Nothobranchius furzeri: one gene and its partners. The protein of the gene in region 3 interacts with the protein of the main gene of each other region in a biochemical or structural test. Links are inferred from orthologs where the notes say so. Each region holds a gene or a part of one and is shown on either strand. Other genes may lie near its edges.

Evidence for each region. The genes of interacting proteins can lie anywhere in the genome.
Region 1: the proteins of myod1 (region 3) and cdk4 form a complex in vitro, tested with the Homo sapiens proteins (2 studies listed by BioGRID). The link is inferred for Nothobranchius furzeri from reciprocal best matches to the Homo sapiens genes MYOD1 and CDK4.
Region 2: the proteins of myod1 (region 3) and csrp3 form a complex in vitro, tested with the Homo sapiens proteins (2 studies listed by BioGRID and IntAct, with this or other methods). The link is inferred for Nothobranchius furzeri from reciprocal best matches to the Homo sapiens genes MYOD1 and CSRP3.

The regions. Positions count from the first base shown.
Region 1 is NC_091743.1:49,229,006-49,236,372, forward strand, and holds the start of cdk4 (cyclin-dependent kinase 4), read left to right. Parts: upstream 1-2,578; 5' UTR 2,579-2,789; intron 2,790-7,367.
Region 2 is NC_091749.1:52,410,903-52,418,288, forward strand, and holds csrp3 (cysteine and glycine-rich protein 3), read right to left. Parts: upstream 4,790-7,386; 5' UTR 4,654-4,789; intron 4,171-4,653; 5' UTR 4,125-4,170; coding exon 4,013-4,124; intron 3,397-4,012; coding exon 3,225-3,396; intron 3,101-3,224; coding exon 2,977-3,100; intron 1,477-2,976; coding exon 1,383-1,476; intron 1,287-1,382; coding exon 1,213-1,286; 3' UTR 1,072-1,212; downstream 1-1,071. Other genes in the region: putative palmitoyltransferase ZDHHC13, read left to right, coding at 169-307; transcription factor E2F8, read right to left, coding at 6,569-6,736. UniProt on the Homo sapiens protein: Positive regulator of myogenesis. Acts as a cofactor for myogenic bHLH transcription factors such as MYOD1, and probably MYOG and MYF6.
Region 3 is NC_091749.1:52,556,060-52,563,618, forward strand, and holds myod1 (myoblast determination protein 1 homolog), read left to right. Parts: upstream 1-2,511; 5' UTR 2,512-3,586; coding exon 3,587-4,117; intron 4,118-5,086; coding exon 5,087-5,156; intron 5,157-6,302; coding exon 6,303-6,505; 3' UTR 6,506-6,876; downstream 6,877-7,559. UniProt on the Homo sapiens protein: Acts as a transcriptional activator that promotes transcription of muscle-specific target genes and plays a role in muscle differentiation. Together with MYF5 and MYOG, co-occupies muscle-specific gene promoter core region during myogenesis.

The DNA.
Region 1 (7,367 bases), on a different chromosome or scaffold from region 3:
GTGGTGAGCCGGTGCTGATGGTCCGTTGGTCCGAGACATTCTTCCCCAGCCTGACTTGTTGTTTCCTGTCTGTCAGGAAGTCAGTGATCCACATGCAGATGGGGTCAGGCACGTTCATCTGGGACATTTTGTCTTGGAGGAGGTCTGGCAGGATTGTGTTGAGTGCAGAGCTGAAGTCCACGAACAATATCCTGGCGTAGGTACCTGGGGAGTCCAGATGCTGCAGGATGAATTGTAGAGCCATGTTGATTGCATCATCTACAGACCTGTTTGGTCTGTATGCAAACTGCAGGGGGTCCAGGAGGGGGGCTGTGAGGGTCTTGAGGTGGGGGAGAACTAGGTGCTCAAATCAAATCAATTTCCCTCTGGGATTAATAAAGTATTTTTGAATTGAATTGAAATGACTTCATGACCACAGATGCAGTCCTTTAGTCCAGTGATTCTTGGTTTCTTGGGGACAGGGACTATGGTGGAGATCTTGAAGCAGGCAGGCACATGAGATTCCTCCAGTAAGGAGTTGAAGATGCTCGTAAACACTGGGGCCAGCTCTTCAGCACAGTGCTTTAGAGTGGCAGGAGCCACGCCATCAGGGCCCGGGGCTTTTCGTGTGTTAAGAGACCTGAACTGCTTCTTTACATCTGCTTCATGAACGAGTAGATTTGTGGTGGAGGTGTGTGATGTGAACACCTCGTGAGTGGGGGGGGGGGGGGGGGGGGGTGATGAAGGTGCTGGTGATGGCTCTGTAACGGGGAGTGGCTGACCAATGAGCTCAGCCAGAAACCAAAGCTCTTATAAGCCATTCTTAATCCCATTCATCACTCATGGTCATGAGCTTTGGGTAATGACCAAAAGACCAAGACCATGAATGCAAGCAACTGAAATGACTTTCATCTGTAGGGTGGCTGATCTCAGCCTTGAGATATGATGCCGAGCTCAGACAACTGAGTAGAGCCACGGCTCCTCCACAGAGAGGAACGAGCTGAGGTGGTCTGGGCATTTCATCAGAATGCCTCCTACAACGTCACAGGCGAGGAATTCCAGGAATGTGATACTGACAGAAGGTTCCCAGGTTAACTAAGTAAATTGTAATTTCTCATCCCTTGTCCGTTTTATCATTTTGGTGTATTTTGCAGTGTATCTGTAAAGTGCTTTGGTCAGCTGTCATGCTGTTTTTAAATGTGCTATGGAAATAAAGCTAGTATGGTATGGATTAGGGATGCGCCAATACCGTTATCGATACCAGGAATCAATGCCAATGCAGTTGCCTGAAAGTGGCTTCACTGTAACTTGTCATTTCTGTTCACCTAATATTTTAGTTTTGTGATCATTTCCATTAATATATTTTATTTTTTAATCTACCTCACACACTTTTCCTGTTGAAAGAAAAGAAAATAAAACCTGTATTCCAATTCATTGCATTTTATTGTGTGGTAGAAGTATCGGTGTAGGCGAGTACTCAGATCCAAGAATCGGTATCGTATCTGTTTGGGAAAAAGTATTGGTGCAACCCTAGTAAGGATCCCACCAGTGGAAATAGCTGGACAGAGGATAATTTGGACCTCTCTTCAATCCCAGCGACCCAAATCTAACTAAGAATAAACTATTTATAAACACTGACCTAAACTATAGTGCTCAGATGCTGATCTTGATTCCTTCACCCTTGAATTTCCTCACGGGACACCACTAACTTTAGAATTTAAAAACACACCTAAACATACTTAAACCATTAAGCTGTTATAATAAATCTGCAAACATGCTAGGTTTCGAACCCAAACACAGTCACAGAACACTCACCCCTTCCCTCGGGTATCTTCCCTGAGACGCAACCTGCGATACCATACCACTTTAATTATAGAGCGCTTTTAACACGGCATTACAACCGACCAAAAGCTGCACATGTTAATGCCGCACGAAACGAGACATGGCCAAACACCAGTAACCGTTTTCTAGGTCCAAACAGCTTTTGTCTGTGACATAAAATGGAGGGTTTTTTTTAGGCTCTGGCAGTTTGTCCAAAAGTTGAAGTGGTAGCAGCCGGCCGTTTCTCCTCCTCTGATACTACTGAGCCGCGAACCTCTCACACCAGCGGTGTTCTGTTGCCAAATATGCGAGTGCGTAACGAATAGAGGCCCCATGGTCGTGCAGGAGTTCAGCGGTTTGGAGACCAACAACTGATGGTTCAATAGTTGCTTCTGGTCCTAAATGTGTTATTTGCTGAGGTTTTTAGACAAATGTGAAAGAACCACTTTATTTATTTATTTCATCTCCACAGTTTCTTTATTTCTTTAACATATCAGAACTTGTTAAGAGGCATGAAAAAAGGTTTTAGACACATTTGTTTGTTTGTTTTAATGTAACTTTAAGTCTGGTGAAACCACATTTACAGTTTCCCCACTCTTCCTTTGATGATGTGTAACAAAGTTAAATGTTGGAAACGTTTAAAGTAAAGATGACTGCTTCTTGGAAGCTGAAACAGGTATTTTACATCAGCAGAGGCTTTAGAGGAGATGATGCGCTAAAGTTTGCGTTGCTGCTTTAGGCTGTAGCCCCGCCCCCTGAGCAAAAGGAAGACAGGCGGAAAAAAAAGTGCGACGAGAGGCCGAAATCAAACCGACTGACTTGGTTTCCCCACATCACAAGCACCCGTGGGCAAAGAGTCTGGGTCTGGACCCGGCCCTGTCCACCTCTGACCCGGTTCTGAACGAGTTAGAGACGTGGCAGGAGAAGAAGCATGCCTCGCTGAAGTGATCTCACCTGCCGCTGAAACACGGAGAGGAGAAACGGGCGAGGTAGGTTCGTGTTTCTGGACTCTCGGATACAGGAAACTACAGCTGGGTCGTGTTGGTCACCTTAACTCTGGACATCTGGAGTTTGGGCTGGACAGATGCGTTAAATAAAAGTTGCAGTCGGTGGTTTGTCCTCCGCCAGCGGCCGTAGTTGTCAGCTATCCCTCCGCCACGTTGGGGCACATGTCTGAGGAGGAGAAACTAGCCGTCGGCCTGCTGTTGCTCCACTTTTCTTTTAGTTTAATCAACAAAGAAGAGTCGTGGAGTAGCACCACGTGTCTGTCCTGGCCTGGACCGGCCTGCTGACTCTGCCCACGGGCCTGCTTCTCCGTGGGTCGGTCTGATAGATCCGTAAAAATGAATGGAGGTCAGCTTCTGTTGATCATTTAATTACTGATTTGCTGTTATCGGTATGCTGCCAGTTCAATTAAACTCCCAGCTGGGCTGAAGCTGGTCAGATGTTATTGAAAGAAGGGGAAACATAAATGTTTAAATTAAAGGTGCAACATGGAAGAAGGAAGTAGGAATGACATCCTATGGTCAAAATTGGTTACTGCAGCCCATTTTCAAGACACACTGGTCTGGTATGGCGTCGTCACATCTGGCCTGTAGAGCCCTGCACGGGCCTAAAATCTGAGCCCGTGTCCGGCCCGTGGAGCCCCAGCCCGACCCGGTCCGAAAAGGTTTTCAGGATTCTCTGGCCTGAGCCCAATTTTGTTTTTTAACCTTTCATAATGTTTTAGCGTGATAGAATGCTCAGCATTCTAATTATCTGTGAGAAGCATTCTGCAGTAAAAAAAATAAATAAATAAAAAGAAAAGAACAAAAAAACAGCATTCAATGCAGCTTTTTTTTCTAACAGAGCGTATTTTTTGAGCGGCAGATGAAATTTACGAACACTATATTAATTGGATGCGTTTGTAAATTTAATCTGCTCTGAAAATGCGCCCTTGTGCAATTAGAAAAAAAAGCAGCATTCTAATTTTCTAACTGCAGAGCGCATTTTCAGAGCGGCAGATTAAATAAACACCCCCAATTAATATAGTGTTTGTAAATTTAATCTGCCGCTCTGAAAATGCGCTCGCCAGTTAGAAAAAACAACAACAATGAATGCTGTATTTTTTTAACTGCAGAGCGAATTTATTCACAGAAAAATAGAATGCTGTCATTTTCTTGAGAATAAACAAATGGTTTCTGACATATCAAAGTGGACATAAAATGGCATATTAGAATAGGGGCACATGTTTCAGTCAGCCGTTTATATAGGCGCATTAATAAACCACACAGACCTTAACTGAGCTAACGGTGCCGGTGCGTGAGAAGCAGGCAGGTGCTGCTGCATTCAAGTGTTTCAATTTTTTTTATGAATTTGATTAAAAATAAAGGCGCCTGGCCCGGCCCGTGTCCGAGGTAATTACGCAGTCGTTGGCCCGAAGCCCGGCCCTCGGGCCGTCGGACCGGGCCGACCTGAGGGCCTAGGGCTTCATTGCAGGGCTCTACTGGCCTGGTCCGGTCTCGGTAGAGTCGGCCCACCCCTGCATGGCCAGTTTTTGTTCACATAGCCTTCTCAGAGCGAATGCCTCAGAGCACGTGGGCCAGGTGGGTGTTTTACTCACGTTGGTAAGCAAAAGTAGCCGTGAGCAGTGATATGAAGCACACCGTTTCCTACTCTCACGCCGATACTGCTGCGTGCTCCTCACAGCAGTCTGTCTGACCAGCAGTCAGAGATGTTTACAAATATGGGAAGCCTCTGCTGGCTAATTCTACCAACCAATCAGAGGCTCCCTCTATAGGTAGGTGTGAACTTCAGCTGGCCAATCAGTCGTATTTGGTGTGTTGGCTCAGTTTTCCATGAAATAGACTACTGGGGAGAAGCTCCAAAAAAAAAAAGCTGAGCATGGAAAACGACTACCCAGATGTGCCTATCAAGATGTGAAAGCCCAATTGCTCAGGGTCAGAGTTCACCCTAACCCATTCTCCTGCCAGAGAAAGAATGCTGCTGTTGTGTATTTACTTAAACCACCTCTCCTGCTGGTGGTGGTTGGAGGAACTGGTGGCGCCTAGACTCAGCAGCCCCTCCTGTCAGTAGCTACGTTGATTTTACAGACGTTGCGCTACAATTTCAGGTGTTGGCGCTCTTTTGCTCCGCCCACATGCTTATAGATGCGCTCATGACATCACAGGCCCCAGACCGCCTATGTTCTCAATCACATCTATATTCTCAAGGCAGTGTGGGACGAACACAGCCAGGCTGGGGTGGGCGGAGTGGAGTGGAGCTGATGCTAGTGTGTAAGTGGCACAAGTCCAACAGGTGGCAGCCCACCACACTGAAGTTGCAAGTGCGGTATTGACCCTGTGCACGTGACGTCACGCCACTCATGTGACCGCCCCCTTCACCATGATGGACGGCAAAAAGACCGTTTACACCCGTAGAAACTCCAGTGAAGCTAGTCAAAACAAGCCAGTTTGTAGCCTTTTATAGCTTTTATTTAGTTGATTCGACAGTAAAATGGTTTTAGCTTGCTGCGTGGTCGGCTGCACTAACAGACAAGGATGTAAAGTCAACTTGTTTTGTTTTTTTATTAACTTTGATGGAGACTGAGGACGGAGATGAACTGCAGCGATCAATCAAGCGGACTAGCAGGTCTCAGATTTGCAGCGAACATGTTTTTACCGGGTAAGATTAACGTTCATTTATTTGACGAGGAAGACGGGGACAGGGGTAAATGTGATGTGTTTATACAAGTTATTGATAATCCTGATGGACGGGTATTTCACCACGGAGGCTGCGCTCCGTCCACTGTAGTGTAAAGCGAGACGATTATTAACAATATTAAAGCTCCGATGTATGATTACGTGTGTTAAAATTACGTTATTTATTTATATGAGCGTCGGCGTTCAGAGATCTTCTCATTCCGGTGTGAAAGCAGCAGCTGAACCCGGTAACACCACCAGCAACAGAAGCTGGTAGGGATCCGGACTTTTTAAAAATCAGCTTTGGTGTAAAGTGAAACGCTGTTTATAACATAATTTTATAAATCCAGAGGGGTGAATTTAGGCAAAGTCAGCAACATGTTTACATCGGTGAACAGCTGCAGAGAGAACGTAAGCTAACGTTGGTAAGCTTGTTAACACACCGCTCTCTATGAGCCCCCGCTAGATGCGCTACTTCTTCTGATAACTGAACTGGGCCTGAACTAGTTGAAGGAATGCTGGAGGAGTTTTGTTTTTGTTTTGATCGCTAAAACAATTTCAGGCTCTACTTTTCCCTTTGTTTTGTAATCGTGTCGCTCACTGTTTACATGCTTTTGCCGTCCACGTGATTAGGTGGCGTCGGTGCAAAGGGTCAATTCTTGCCAGAGGGGGCAGTGGGGGTCTGAGTGACATTTAATGAACCTTGTAAAGGGTCTTTTAGCACATACTGGCTCAAGAAAATAATTTAAAAATATGATAAAGTTGCATAGTATCCTAACAAAGATCCACCTGTAAAAAGATTGTGAACTATCATACACCGTGATTTAGTATTCTTGTCATTAATAATAAAACAAAAATCGGCTAAAAAAACACAACATGTTTTACTTTGTTTACTTTGAAAAATACTGGATGCAACTTGCTGAAACAAGGCTCACTTCCTGTCTGGCTCCTGTCATTTATTTAACTTCATGACACTCTGCATGCAGTGTGCAGAAGAAAAAAAAAACGCCATGCAGAAACTTTCAGGAGCTCCACATCTGGACCGCACCACAGCCAGTGTGAACGTTCTGATTGGGCTCAATGATTTTTGGACTTTAAGGAAACTGGACCGTATCCGTTCATCCTTCGGTGTGAATGAGGCTTCACTGACTTGCAAGAATCTTCTTACATGTTTAATCTCATCTGTTTGTAACAAATATCTGTAAAGATGATCCAGACGGGACACAGTTGATCTGATTTGACTTTTATAGATGCATTAAGACATCCTGTGATCAGAATGGCCACTATTGAGCATGATCAGCTCCACCAGTGACTTGTCTATAAATACATCCCTGCCAAGCAGCAACCTGACGGCTAATAATCTCAACACTTGTCCTGGTCTGTGAATCCACCGTCACTAAATGCTACGTAAAGCTAGCAATAACAGAGCTGTGGGGGAGTTTTTACTTCTAAAATGCTAACTTTCAAGTACATTTCAAGTAAATAAGAACCCACCGACCCACAGAACCAGAATAAATGAATCTCTTATTAGATACTGCTGCAGCAGGTTAAATTCTCATCAGGTAAAATAGTTTAAATAAGCATTTTCTGCTCTTTGCAACATGGAGCAGAGAGCTAAAGAGAGTTTATCAACCAAATGATTGTTTTTTTTCTTTAAAGCAGCATGCCAGCCCCTCTAATTGTTCACACACACACACACACACACACACACACACACACACACACACACACACACACACACACACACACACACACACACACACACACACACACACACACACACACGCACACACACACACACACACACACATCAACCCCTCCTTTCTTTCCTTATTTGTGTTTCCTTATTTGTGTCCGTGTGCGCGCATGGTCAACAGACTGTATCAT
Region 2 (7,386 bases), about 140 kb from region 3:
AACCAGATCATACCTGTTTATGATTAAAGAGGCTGATGTCAAACCCTCACTCCCCTTGATGAAAGCATAAGAAAAACGGGAGAGTCCAGTGGTTCTGCTGTGGCAGCATCACTCGTTGTTGCGTCATGTTTAAGAAGAAAGGTGTTGTTGACCCTGATCTGTTTGCAGTTTGGGCGTGGTGCAGAACCTGGTATCGTTTTTCCAGTTGCGGTGCTGTGGCCTCTTCAAACCCACCGTCACCGACTGGACCAGTCAGTTCCAGCCCCACCGGGACCAGTACCTGTTTGACCAAACCCACATGGTCTGACCTCCTCTCCTTCAAACACTCAGGGTCAGATTCTGGTTCTGGACCAAAAGCACAGAATGTATTTATTTATTTTCCACCTGTTGGCTCCGTTTACAGTAAAACCACAGAAGAACAATACGAGCATGTGGATATTGTTTGTTTGAGCCGATCTCTGTACAAACTGCTATGGCCTTTAAACTCGACCAGCTAAAGGGAATCAGAACCTTTGAGGACCGAAGGTGTTGATGGAAGTTTTTAATCACCTGGTTTGAGGAAAATGAGAATATTTGTACATGTGAACACTTTGTTTTATGACTTTTGTAAAAGCTGCATGTGTTTAATAACAAATGACCACTATAATACTTCAATAAAACAATCTTGTGCCTGTCTGCTTTTACACACATCTCTCCTAATCATTTTTATTGTCGCTCTTTAATAATCAAAGTTAAGAGAAGACTTTACTTATTTCTATTGAGAGTATTGAGTTCAGCAGTAGCTCAGGAGGAAGAGTGGGCTGTGTTGTGTCCTCGGGCAAGACACTTAACCCCCTTTACCTGTTGATGGTGGTCAGAGGGACCAGCAGCTGCACTTATGTCTGAGTGTCCAGTTGTGGCTACAATGTAGCTCATCTCCATCAGCGTGTGTGTGAATGGATGAATGTTGCCCTGTGTAAAGCCTCTTACAATGAAACATGTAAGTATGGATCACTTATCATAATCTTTCCACACGGAATAAAGCAAGGTTTATGTCATTTTGCACCTTTCTAGAAAACACTTCAGAATGTATTTTTGTTGTAACAAATGGATTTTATTCTGTGTTTTTTTTTCCCCATGTGGTCATTTTAAAACAAGATTTAAAGTAACTGACATCCTCCGGGGTCAAAGGTGAAGTCTCGGCTCCCATTAATGGGTTTGAGTCAGACGTCCTCACTCCCGTTCCTCCAACATGGCTGCGTTCCCCAGCCCAAATCCTTTCGGACCAAAGTGTTTGGCGTAGCAAACTAGAGAAGAATGTAAAACATCAACAGCTGCGGCTGTGGTCCCAGCCCAACAACCTCAGTCATTAGAAACCCGCGTGTTCACCAGGTTGTTTGTACCTTTACAGTAAAGCTCCCCGTCCTTGTCCGTCACCGTGGTCGACTCCAGGCTTTTACCACACAGCGCACAGCGGAAACAGGTCTTGTGCCAGGCCTGAAACACACACGATGTAAATATTAAACACAAACTTATAAGGCGTTAAAGCAGAAAGATTAATAGAAGTACAATCAAAACTTACCATAAAATAAATAAAACACATAAAATGTAGAAGCAAAAACAAAGCTACACAAAATTAAAATCAAAGTCAACAGGATCAATAAAAAGACTCGACATTGGTTAGAGAGCGCAGGGTCGGTGGTAAAACGTTCCACAGTGAGGGGGCCACTCCCTGAAAGGCCTGATCAACTCTGGTCCTAACCTAGTTCAGGGCACCACCAGTAGCCACTGGCCTGAAGATCTGAGAGTGTCCTGGGTTGTGGATGTATAGATGGTATAATCAGGTGTCTTGACTGTTAATGATCTAAAAGTGGAGACCCTCCTTTATCAGTCACTAACAGATCTGTACGTATTTTGTGCGTAGGAACGATTATTACACACGTGTGGTATTTACCGATTTGTACTCGTGCATAGTAATGTTCCTAAATATAAGAACAGTTCTGACCTGCATACGAACAGCATCTAAAGGTCTCTGTTGTCCACACACGTTCCTCATCCATAAAGTATTTTACCCAATAAATAATGTCGGTGGAAAAACAGCTTTTTTGCACAATTGGTGCTAAAACCAATAAAAGACACACGTGACCGACGGGAATCGGACATTATATCTTGGCTGTTGTGTGTTGGAGGATTTGGCAGAGCGTGCACTCGAGGGAAGGCGTCCTCCGTGAGCGCACTGATCTCCCCGAAGGACATCCTTAGAGCTATGCTAGGATTTGAGACCCTTTGTGGCGCGACAGAGAAACTGCTCAGATGTGATTCCAGTTCATATTGTATTTTACAACTACGAGAGCCTCTCTACTTCCCAATCACACACGCCACGTAGTCAAGGTAACCCGACTGAATGAAAGCTCAGAAGAGGCTGCACTCAGACGACATTTCCAAATTTAACTAACTCCAAACAGAACAACTCCTTAAATGTAACATGTAAATGACAGCCCGTTACTCTACGATTTATCATATTCAACTTTTTATTTATTCCTGACGGAGACTCTCCTCTGTCCCAGTCGCGTTTACAACCTGTGCGACTTGTTTGGTTCTTTTGCACTTTGGCAGCCAGTGTCTCGATCTCGCTGTCAATGTTTTTATTTGGGGGGGGGGGGGGGGGTGCCCAGGGAATTCCCTCAGGTGCTGAAGACTTAGCAAGACCAAATAAGGTTAATTGAGGGCATTTATATGACACAGGTGGGATTTATCATCAGACGATTGAGGAGGAACATACGAAAGGCCGCCATTCATACGTTCTACATTTATTTTGAATATAAGACCGTCTCAATGAATGTTTGATAAATGAGGGCCGTGGACCCCAGGGAACTGGGAGCCAGTGTAGAGCTGCTAAAACAGAGGTGATGTGAACTCTTTAAGGAAGTTTGGCAGTGACACCAGAGTTTATCACAAGTGCGTACACCAACATGTTCAGAGAGGGATGGCTGTTACCTTTCCTGCTCCCATCACCTTCTCTGCTGCGTAGACAGCCTTGGAGCAGCGAGGGCAGCGGTCTGAGCCTCCAAACTTCTGGGAGAACTTGTTGGGGTTTGAAGAGGCCGATCGAGGTTTAGACCTAAAAAGTTTGTTTATAAATTCAAAATGAAGGGATGTCAAAATGTGCTTTGATGTGTCATTTGTGTATGTTGGGCTGTCTAGAGGAATGAGTCCTTGACTAGGCGGCCTTCTCAAACACGTACTCATGAGACTGTGGGTCTGCATCCTGTCCAGGAGGATCAGAACTCAGAGCTCCCGCTCCTTGTCCATATCCATAGCCTTTTGGCCCATATTTCTTGCCATAGCATGACTTGCAGTAAATCTCAGACTCGTGTGCTGCAACCGTAGTGCTGTCGAGCCCTTTCCTGCAGCTCACTAAAGGAAAATCAAACAATAATTTATGTAAAACCAGTTTAAATTAAATGTCTCCAGTTTGGCCAAACTGAGGAATGTCCTGTTGGAGGGATGAAGGTTAAATAAAGCTCCCACCTAGCTGCTTTTATCAGTCAGCACTAAGTCACATGGCTGTGTTGCTATTTGTGGAAGGAGATGGATGTGTGAAGGGAATGTTGGAGAGAAGATGAACTCTTAGCAGGTGGGATGAGTTTATCACAGAGCTCCCACTGGAACAAAGTATCCACCGCACAGACTGCAACAAGCTGCAGAGTGGGGTCAGCAGGTCGGTTCCTGCAGCGCTGGTGGGAGTCTGGATTATATGACTAAAAGATCTGAAGCTGCATTACAGGATGCAGCAGCAGAAATTCAAATATTTAGCCAGTTTGGAGGAGAGCTTAACGTCCAATGTCCTAAAAGAACAAAAATAATCTAAAGAGCAAAAGGTAAGAGATACATCTGGATCTGTGCTCAGAGACACTCTCAGGGGAAAGGAGCGGGCAATAAGGAATGACATAATTAAAGCACAGGCTAGACCCAGGTTTCTCCTCCACCAGGAGGTCTCGGTGGGCCCAGCAGAAGGAACCAGGATGCTCACTGCAGATGAAACAGGTCTTGTGGAAACTGCGTCCGTTACACTGGACCTCCTCTGCGTGGTACACCGTCTTCTCGCAGGCTGAACACCTGGATCCTCCTCCCCAAGTCGGCATCGTACAGATCCACGTGGACTCGTGGTTTCCTCTTCAGAACACAGGGCTGGAGGTCAAATGATTATTCCTGTTATTCATGTTTCTGTTACTCTGACAAACACGCCAGTTTAGTAAAATGAGTTTTTTTCACTATTTCATAAAACCGTGGAACATTTTTGATTGAAGGTTTAAAGAGTCACAAGATCTAGATTTATCTAGAATTATTTTCCATTCGAAAGATATCAAATACTGTAAACTTGGCCCACATCTTACTAATTTTGTGGCTTTAACTTCCATGTATTGCAGTAATAAATCACAGAAGACCAAAAGATTTCCCATTTCATTCCTGATGACTGATCACCTAAAACTGAAGAAGTGGGTGTAAACCTCACTGGCCTGTGTCACATTCCAGTCCCCGCTCCTATCCGAGCATACCTCACAGGACTGGCATGTGACATTTGGGGGAAAAAAGGCATGACAGCTAAAACTAAATGTCTTCAGCCAATAAGAATCAAGACATTTCACAGCTTTAACAACTAAAGGGTCTCACCTCGAGTCCAGTCGTGTGCACCTCCCTTCTAAAGCAACGGATAACTCTCCTAGATGGTTTAAATACTCTTCATCTCCTCCTCCTCATCATCACGGTGACGCCTCCTCCAAAAATAACTGTCAGAGTCCTTTGACCCTTTATCATCAGCTGAAAGAGACCAGAACATCAGACGCTCCAGCATTTGTTCTAGACTCATTCCTCTGACAGCTGCAGCACAAAGCATCGGTGTGCGGTCTGACAGGATTGTTCTGGAATCGACACAGCAGGTCTGAGCACCAAGAAACAGATATTACTTTGGACGCATGAAACGTCTAAAGAAAGCTGTTGTTCATAGATATCTGCATCAGGTGAGACAACAGCCGTTCGGATTCAGGGTCAAGCTGCTTGTTTTTGTTGGTACAAAATGTGAAGATTGATAAAAAATAGAATCAATGTCACATTTAAATGCATCAGATCAACAAAAAAGGTAACCTGAATAAATACTAAACACTGTTTTCTAATCATTTAAATTATGAGGAAAAGGGCTCAGAACCAACCAGGTTGTAAGTTTAAATCTCAGACTAACTGTGATTATTTGGAATGCTGACCTCCATCTCACCAGTGAAACCCAGACCTGCAAAAATCAATCAATTCAACAAGCCGTCTGACATCATGAGGTAGGCTAAAAGATCTCAAATGTGACGCTCTGTACTGATGAGATTCAAGAACAAAGAACCCGCAAGAACATCTGGAGAAAAGCAGGCCTCACACAGTTGAAGTTAAGGTCAGCGGTCATGACTCAACAGTAAGAAAAAGGCAGCAGAAAATGGTTCCATGGAAGATATGATGCTGACTTGTCTCACTTTTGCCAGAAAACCTCCTGATGATCTCCAGGAAGTGTCCTGTACTGCTGTAAAACTAGCACTGCATACACGGAGGTGGTGGTGTGGTGGTCTGGGTCTCTTTCAGGACCTGGACCACCTGCTGACTGACAGAACAATGAATTCTGCTCTCTACCTGAAGGAGAATGTCTGACCTTTGACCCTAAACAGGACGTTCTTGATGGAAACCCCCTCAACGTGTCCGATTGTGAATATTCGTGTTTTAAAAGGCTTACTGGCTGCATGTAAACGCACTGAAACAGTTCTCTAAAGCAGCGTGGGACTAAAGTTCTCCACGGTGACGCGAGACTCGTCACCAGTTTTCACAAATACTAATGGTAGTTGTTGCCGTTACTAGGTTTAGGTTCAGGCTGAGGGAGATATCAAAAGTAGGAATGATTGTATTCTAAATTACATTAGAAAGTCAGAACTATCAAGTAAATATACACTTACACCTGCAGTACCCACGGCTGTGGGAACTATGGGTGTTAAAATAAAACACGCCCCCGATAAAGAACAAGAGATCTGATGTTCTTAGAAAAATCCCATTAAAATTTATTCAACATTTAACAAAGAGCAGGAGATCACACAGAATCACTCTTATAAATTAAACCCATCACATGTCAACTTATATTCCCAGAATGCATGAAATATTCACATATGTTTAACTATTTAGTTCAAGGGTGGCATCAACATGTACACGTGTGCAAAAGTGATCTCGCATTCACTAAAGCGATGACGCAGCTTTAACTGATCCTGTGAGGAAAATACTTTTGTGTCATCCAGACCATAAAAAACATCTTGTGCAAACACTAGAGGCTAATCGAGGCCTGGGAAATCCATCGGATCGCACAGAGCGCTATAGTAGCGTTCGTGCCATTTCCCATAATGCCTCTGGTCCTGAGCCAAAGTCAGAGATGGCTGTGATAACAACCACCTCCATCAGGATGCTGGGAAATGTTTCAGAGCTCATGAATACTGGAAACTGTTAAACAGACCAGAGTAACAAAAACACACCCATTCACCACTAAGAACAAGCCCCACCCCTCTACAGATCAGGAGTCATCAGGGGACACGTCCAGCTTCCTCTGGGGGATGTTAACAGCTTTGGTAGCTTGGTGTCCATTGTTGGTTACCACGGCAGCCAGAGGCGAGAGGGGGACCGGCGTGTGAAAGAAGCTGTGCTGGGGGAGCCCGCTCCCTTTAGGGGTGGTCATCAGAGACTGGACGACAAATTAAAAACAAACAACAGATTTAAAGTCCACCTTATAATATGATTATACACAAACCAGCATCTGTGTGTACGTCTACTACTGATTCACTATGGGGACGAGAGAGAGAGAGACAGAGAGAGAGACAGAGAGAGAGAAAGAGAGAGACAGGCAGACATAAAGAGAGACAGAGAGAGAAAGAGACAGAGAGAGAGACAGACAGACAGAGGGAGAGACAGAGAGAAAGAGACAGAGAGAGAGAAAGAGAGAGAGAGAGAGAGAGAAAGAGACAGAGAGAGAGACAGACAGACAGAGGGAGAGACAGAGAGAAAGAGACAGAGAGAGAGAAAGAGAGAGAGAGAGAGAGAGAAAGAGACAGAGAGAGAGACAGACAGACAGAGGGAGAGACAGAGAGAAAGAGACAGAGAGAGACAAAGAGAGAGACAGACAGAGAGAAAGACAGACAGAGAGAGAGAAAGAGAGAGAGAGAGAGAGAAAGAGACAGAGAGAAAGAGACAGACAGAGAAAGAGAGACAGAGACAGAGAGAAAGAGACAGAGAGAGAAAGAGACAGAGAGAGAAAGAGAGAGAGACAGAGAGAGACAAAGAGAGAGACAGGCAGACATAAAGAGAGACAGAGAGAGAAAGAGAGAGAGAGAGAGA
Region 3 (7,559 bases):
ACATTTCACAAAACTAATTTCAGAGCAACATCTGCCAAAGTACCGTCATTTTGTTTTCATCAAAGAGTTATTTAGTAGTTATGGATTCCCTCCTCAGATCAGTCTTTCATCTTCACAGAGAAACACAACAAAATGACTTTAGTTTTATCTTTCAGGAAATCTAGAGAGGTCCTTCCATAGAATAATTAACATTAAACCCTGCCTAATAAGTGCAAAAATGCACATGAATAATTGTTGTGTTCATTTGATACATTTTGGGTCAAGATATTTCCCAGAGTGTTGGTGCATTCAAGCAGATCTCCCCACCCTTCTGTGTCCTCACACATCAGCTGATGGTGGAGCTCCTGTCACCAGGTTCTCTGACGTGTCCTCCCCAATGGGTGGAAATCAGAGCAACAACAACAAAAACAACCTTCCTGGAGGTGGTGATGGCCCTGGTATCAATTATTGGAACAAAGGAACTGAGCAGTGCTGGCTTTTACAGCAGAACGTTATGAAATCTCAAAAACAGACGAAAACAAATCTATGAAATAAGAAAAGAGTTAAATCATCTTGTTTCATCTTCCTGATTTATTCAGAAAACAAAACATCCAAAACCTCTACGAAAAAGAATTAGTCTTGATGTAGAATTTGTAAAATATGGTATAAAATTCAATAAAGGCTCCTTTTAACATTCATCCAATAAAAATTTAAATAAATGTCCAGTCTTTTGAAAACAAACTAGTCAGCGATTTTTAAACATGAGTTTCTTCTTTTAAAGACCAAGTTCGGGTCTCTAGTAGAAATTAATGCCTTGTGAGTTGATCGCTGTGGGGGAAAAAAAGCTCTGGCGCTCCTGTTTCAGGAAGAAGTGAGGAGAGGAGACAGAGCAAAAGAGGACAGGATTTGTTGTTTTATTTCTGTTTGATTGGTGTCTGACTGGCTAACAGCTACATAACTCTACCTCTGACTGTTTGCTCTGCATTGTTAATGCTTTACACACAAACCACAAACCTAAAGGGCTTCTGCTGTGTGGTGGAGATGCTAATGCTTGGTGGTTGGATTGTCTTGCCTTGACATTGTGTACCAAGATGGGTGAGTCCATGAATGCTAATTTTCAGTGTGACATAGATCTGTCAGGCTTTCTTATCAAAGTGTTTTCCTGTCTGTTTGCTACTGGCGGCAAATGCAGGAAATGGGGTAGGAGACTATTTTCACATTCAGCTTGTATGTTAAACTCAGTTGGACAGATCATATTTAACAAATTACAAGTAAAAATTGGTTTCTTTTTGAACTTGGGCTTTAAACTATTTAATGTTAGCTGGATGTTAAACCAGTCCCAGTAATAATTTACCCATGGGGGAAATGGATAAAATAAGAAATATTACCAAGAATTGGATGCGGTTCTTTGGAAACTGCAGTTTCACATGTCTGTGAACGCATGAGGTGGGACATGTGAAACCGTGAGATTAACACCTTCACAGGAATGCTCTTTCAGATTCATTTCAGTCACTGCAGATGAAATTCTATGTCTCACATTACTGGGCTGGATGTGCTCATGTTCATCGGTCAGTTTGTGGGGGGTTAACAAACCTGGAAACATGATCATGTGTTGAAGCTTTTAACATAACCAGACTTTTCATTAACAAACTCCCCAAAAATCAGTGGATGTTTAGTTTTTTGGCTATTTTCAGAAAACAATGTTTTTGAATGGCATTGTGAATATAAGGCAGCCTTACCTTAAACCGGTTTGTGTTCAGTCAAATTTAAAAAATGAAAAGATGAAACATGTTTAAAAATTTAAAAGAGTTTTCTTCATTCAAGACTTTCAGGAAAAGAGTACAGTTTATGAAATTCTCATCTATGATTCGGATGACGTGTTGCAGATGTTTCTAAAATGCTCTCATATATAAAAATAACAAATAAATAAATAAATCAGACATCAGGTCATCATCCAGAGTCCAGCAGCAGCTGTTTACTGGCAATAAAGACCACGATGATGATGACGGAAAATATTTTTTGTCTGACTCTTGTGTCTCACTTTCCCTCACACACACACACACACACTCACACACACACACACACACACACACACACACACACACACACACACACACACACACACACACACACACACACACACACACATACACATACACACGCACACGCACACACGCACACGCACACGCACACACACGCACACGCACACATGCATACATGCACACATGCATGCCTACATAGAGACAGAGAGAGAGAGAGAAAAGAAAGAAAGAAAGAGAGAGACAGAGAGAGAGTAGAGAGGGAGGGGGGAGAAAGAAAGAAAGAGAGGGGAGAGAGAAATAGAGAGAGGAAAGAAAGAGAGAGAGGGAAATGAAAGAAAAGAGAGATAGAAGAGAAAGAGAGAGAGAGAGAGAGAGAGAGAGCGAGAGAGAGAGAGAGAGAGAGAGAGAGAGAATATTAGATGCCTGTTGAGATTTTGATGTTAGGAAAACAAATGAAGTGCAATGACGTGTTGTGTTCAAGTTGTGTAAAAATTATAATTTTTATAAAGTCCTACTGATCTGAACAAGATTTATAGAAAAAAAAATACAAAAAGTATTCAGGTTTTGCGAGGTTATACGATAGTTTTACCTCAGATGCAGTCTTCCAGGGGTCTCTGCCCTGCTGTGTTATAGTTTGTTTAGTTGTGTTAGTTATTGGAAACCAAAAGGCAATATCATGGCTCCAAAAGAAGACAAATGTTATGGTTCCTTTTTATTGGACAAATGATGTCAGAGACACTTCATGTATGTTTTTCAAGACTTCTAAAACACATTTCATGTTAAATATTTGTGTTGAAAAACATCGAGCATATGACTGAATCAGAGCATTTTACTAATACCGTTTCACATATTTGTGCTGGACTAGGATTAGTGTGTTTCTCGGGTCATTTAGATCAGTACTGAAGATATAAAGTAACTAAACTGTTCTGATGCTGAGACTGCTGTGAGCTCAACTCTATCAGGTCTAGTAAACGCTGAAATCATGTCTGGGTTCTCTGATAAAAGCTCATGAGTACAAATCTTTCCTGTTCCGATCTCATGAAAGAGGAGATTCATTTCAGATGAATCCTGAATCTCAGCGCAGGAGTTCTAAACGCTCATGATTGGATAAGATACGTTTTTTGAGCTGATGAGTCTGGATGTAAAGAGGTTCAGTCTTTTCTTTTTTGTGTGTGATGACGTGTTTGATCCCTCAGAGTTGAACAAGGACTCAACAGCTGACTCTTTGATTTGTGATGATGGACTTGACTGTCGTTTTTATTGCTTCCTCTTTATGTTTCGTCCCCTTTACACACACACTCACACCCGACTGCACCATTGGTCACTTGGGTCGTGGCCCCGCCTCCACACTGACTGCTATATAAACCCGGACCAAGCCAAAGCAGCTGAGGTTACACAGACTGGCCCTTTAAACGCTCTGTCATTTTACTATGTTCTGGTCAGATGAGTTTGAGATTTGCGAGTCGTCCTAGGAGACACTTCATGAGGATTTCCTTCTAAAGTCTGATATCAGAGGAGTGTCACAACAAAAAGACTTTCTGCTGCTGCTTTCAGGGAGTCGTTCAATGGATTTGTCAGATTTTCATTTCCCTCTTTCATCTACTGATGACCTCTATGACCCCTGCTTCAGCACCAGCGACCTGAACTTTTTCGATGATTTGGATGCCCGGCTGTCACACGGCGGCCTGCTGAAGTCAGAGGACCACCTTCATCACCACGTCCCATCATCAGAGGAGGAGGACCAGCATGTGCGGGCCCCTGGAGGCCTCCATCAGGCGGGCCACTGCCTGCTGTGGGCCTGTAAGGCCTGCAAGAGGAAGACAACGCACGCAGATCGGAGGAAAGCAGCCACCATGCGAGAAAGACGGCGGCTCAGCAAAGTCAACGATGCATTTGAAACTTTGAAGCGGTGCACGGCTTCCAATCCAAACCAGCGTCTGCCCAAAGTGGAGATCCTACGGAACGCCATCAGCTACATCGAGTCTCTGCAGGCGCTGCTGCGGGCCGGCCAGAACGACAGCTTCTACCCGCCGCTGGAGCACTACAGCGGGGGGTCGGACTCCCCCGGCACCCACTCCAACTGCTCCGACGGCACGGTGAGTCTGGGAACAGCTGAAGGGTTCATGTGCTGCCCCACGAAATGTAAGGAATGTGACGGGAGATTTATTTTGGGCCACGGTGATTAATCTGGACAAATGCAACCTTTAGCATGGATCCCAGTGGATTTCAAATGTTTTGCACCTAAACAGAAAGTTTGTCAAAATGTTGTCTTTCAGTTACAAAAAAAATCTTTTTTTGTTTTATTACTACAGAATTGACTAATATTAAAGCAAAAGGTGTTATTTGATGCTGAAGTTATTTATTTCAGGCTGAAAACTTTATGTGCTTTACTTGATTTGGGTGGTGGTGAGTATTATCAGCTTACTGTTGATGTGTCATATTTACCAAAATGTTATTTGTCATCTCTAATCCCTGGACCGTTCTTCTGACTTAACGTAACATTTTTATCATTTTCATCATTTCATTGAGCAAGTAGCGCACATTAGAGTACCAGGAGGGGAAATGTTTAACTCTGTGAGAGTTACCGTGGACAAAAACCAACATTGTTGATTTAGTTGTTTTTTTAATCAAATCAAATTCTTCTCTTTCTAAATAATAAACTGAACACCAGTTTTTGTTTTATTTACACATTTAAAAACAACATATTATATATACATATTATATTTAGACATCTCAACTTTATGATGTGGGGTGAGAGCACATCTTTAATAATAATAAAATTAATCTTTTTTTTTTACAGTGCAAGACATGTTCTAAAGAAATCACTAAATTATACTCATTAAATCCAACCAGTGTGTGTGTGTGTAATCACAGAGCTGTTGTTAATCATAAGATTTGTTTTAACTTGAACATATTACTTATTCAAAACAGTGCTAAAAATTAATAATTTTAATGAACTTTTGAACCTGAAATGTCTCTTTTTGTCCATCTCTACGTGTTGTGGGTGTGAGTCTGAGTAAAGCTGAGGTTTTAAACACTCACTGATGATTACGTTTTATTTTCAGGCGGATTTCATCTCACCATGTTCGAGCAGAAGTGAAAACAGCGATTCTTCTTATGTCAGACAAACAGACGGTGAGCTCATTTAGCACGTCTCTATCTACCGGAGTCAAAATGTGTGCATCTGCTACTTTACATTAGATTTCATATTATTAACATTAACAAACAGATCCAAGGGTCAGGACATTTCTTTAGTCTTTTATTTCAAAGATCTCTTCTTAAATAGAACTTCTTTTTTATTTAAACTCTTTTTGCTAATTTCGTATAAAATAGAAACAATTCTGAATTAATTCATTAATTCACATTTTCTTTATTTTTAAAAGTTTTTCATGAATATGTCTAGCTTTAGACACTCTTCTTTGATGTTTTCACTCTATGCTGTCATTTTTTGTTTATTCACATTTTTTAAAGACATATCTTCCCTTTGCCCTCTGAATGCCTTACCAGTAGGTACAGTCCCACAACGATTTTTAAATAGATGTGTGCTTATGAACCATAAACTTTGCATGTTCTTATCTTACAGTTCATGTCATTTTGAGACTCAGACCAACCTTTCAGTTTAAAAATATGAAGACATGAGAATGGATAAAATGAGGAAAGCAATTGCTAATATGGTTTTTATAAATAAATAAATAAATAAATAAATAAATAAATAAATATATATATATATATATATATATATATATATATATATACATATATATATATATATATACATATATATATATATACACATATGGCTGCATGGTGGCGCAGTGGGTAGCACGAAGGTTGCAGGTTCGAAACTCAGCTGCAGCCTTTTTGCGTGGAGTTGCGTGCTCTCCCCATGCATGCGTGGGTTTCCTCCGGGTACTCCGGTTTCCCCCACAGATCACAACATGCCCTATAGGTTATAAATTGTAAGTCGCTTTGGATAAAAGCGTCTGCTAAATGAATAAACATAAACATCAACATAAACACACACACACACACACACACACACATATATATATATATATATATATATATATATATATATATATATATATACATATATATATATATATATACACATATAAGACAAAACAATCGGCCCATATCGGCTGTCCTTAATTAAAGGTTCAAATCCCACTGCCTCCAATTGCCAAACAAATAAGTGACAAAACATGTAAGCATACTTAAGAAAATCTACCTGACATAAACTTTTCTTGAAGTCTAACTCTTTTTGTTTCTTCTCTGCAGACTGCAGCAGCAATAAAACATCGCTCATTTCCAGTTTGGACTGCTTGTCCAGCATTGTAGAGCGCATCAGCACAGACCCAGCTGTGGGCCCCACAGGAGACAGCGTGGTTCCCCGGGGCCCCGGATCACCTCATAACACCCCCACCATCTCCACTACTTCACCCGCTGACCCCAGCAGCATCTATGAGTCGATTTCCACCTGATGACTCATTTTCCTCTGAAACAAACTTCTTATAAATCCCTTCTAGAGGGAAACACAACATTATTCCTGATTGCTGAAGAAAATAACTGAAATACGAACTTGTAGATTGAAATCTTTGTGTTTTTGTTGTGTTTCCCTGAAATTTGAGTTGATTTTTTCAGTTTCCAGCTGATAAAATGAATGCTGCTGTCTGTTTTTTTTACAAAAAGGAGGGCTTTTCCACGCTGAATCCTGCTGATCATCACTAAGGACCATTTATTACACCTGCTGACTGTTCGTGTAATGTCAGATCACAGTTAAAGGTTTGCTGTAAATGTTTGTATAATATTTAAAAGTTGATGACATCCTAATAAAGTAATATTTATATTCTGAGTTATTTTCCCAAACACATAACTTTTTTGGTATCTAATATTTTCTTAAGATTTGTTTTCCATGTTGATTTTAATTTTACACGTATACCTTAAAATGAATATTTTTATGAATATAGAGCGGGTTGCAGGTTCAATCCCGGCTCCTACCAGAGAATGCTGCTGTTGTGTCCTTGGGAAAGACACTTAACCCACCTTGCCTGCTGGTGGTGGTCGAAAGGAGGAACCTCGACATGGCAGGCCTCACCTCTGTCAGCGCACTCCAGGGTAGCTGTGTCTACATTGTAGCTCATCATCACCTGATTGTGCTGTGAAGCACCTTGGGATGTTGTAGAACCTAAGAATGCGCTACTCATATACAGGCCATTTGACTGATCTTGTGTACTAACACAGGCCGTTTACCTTGTGTACTAATACAGGCCTTTTACCTTGTGCGCTAATACGGGCTGTTTACCTTGTGTACTAATACAGGCTGTTTGCCTTGTGTACTAACATAGGCCGTTTACCTTGTGTACTATACAGGCCATTTACCTTGTGTACTAATACAGGCCGTTTACCTTGTGCGCTAATACGGGCTGTTTACCTTGTGTACTAATACAGGCTGTTTGCCTTGTGTACTAACATAGGCCATTTACCTTGTGTACTAATACAGGCCATTTACATTGTGTACTAATACAGGCCGTTTAC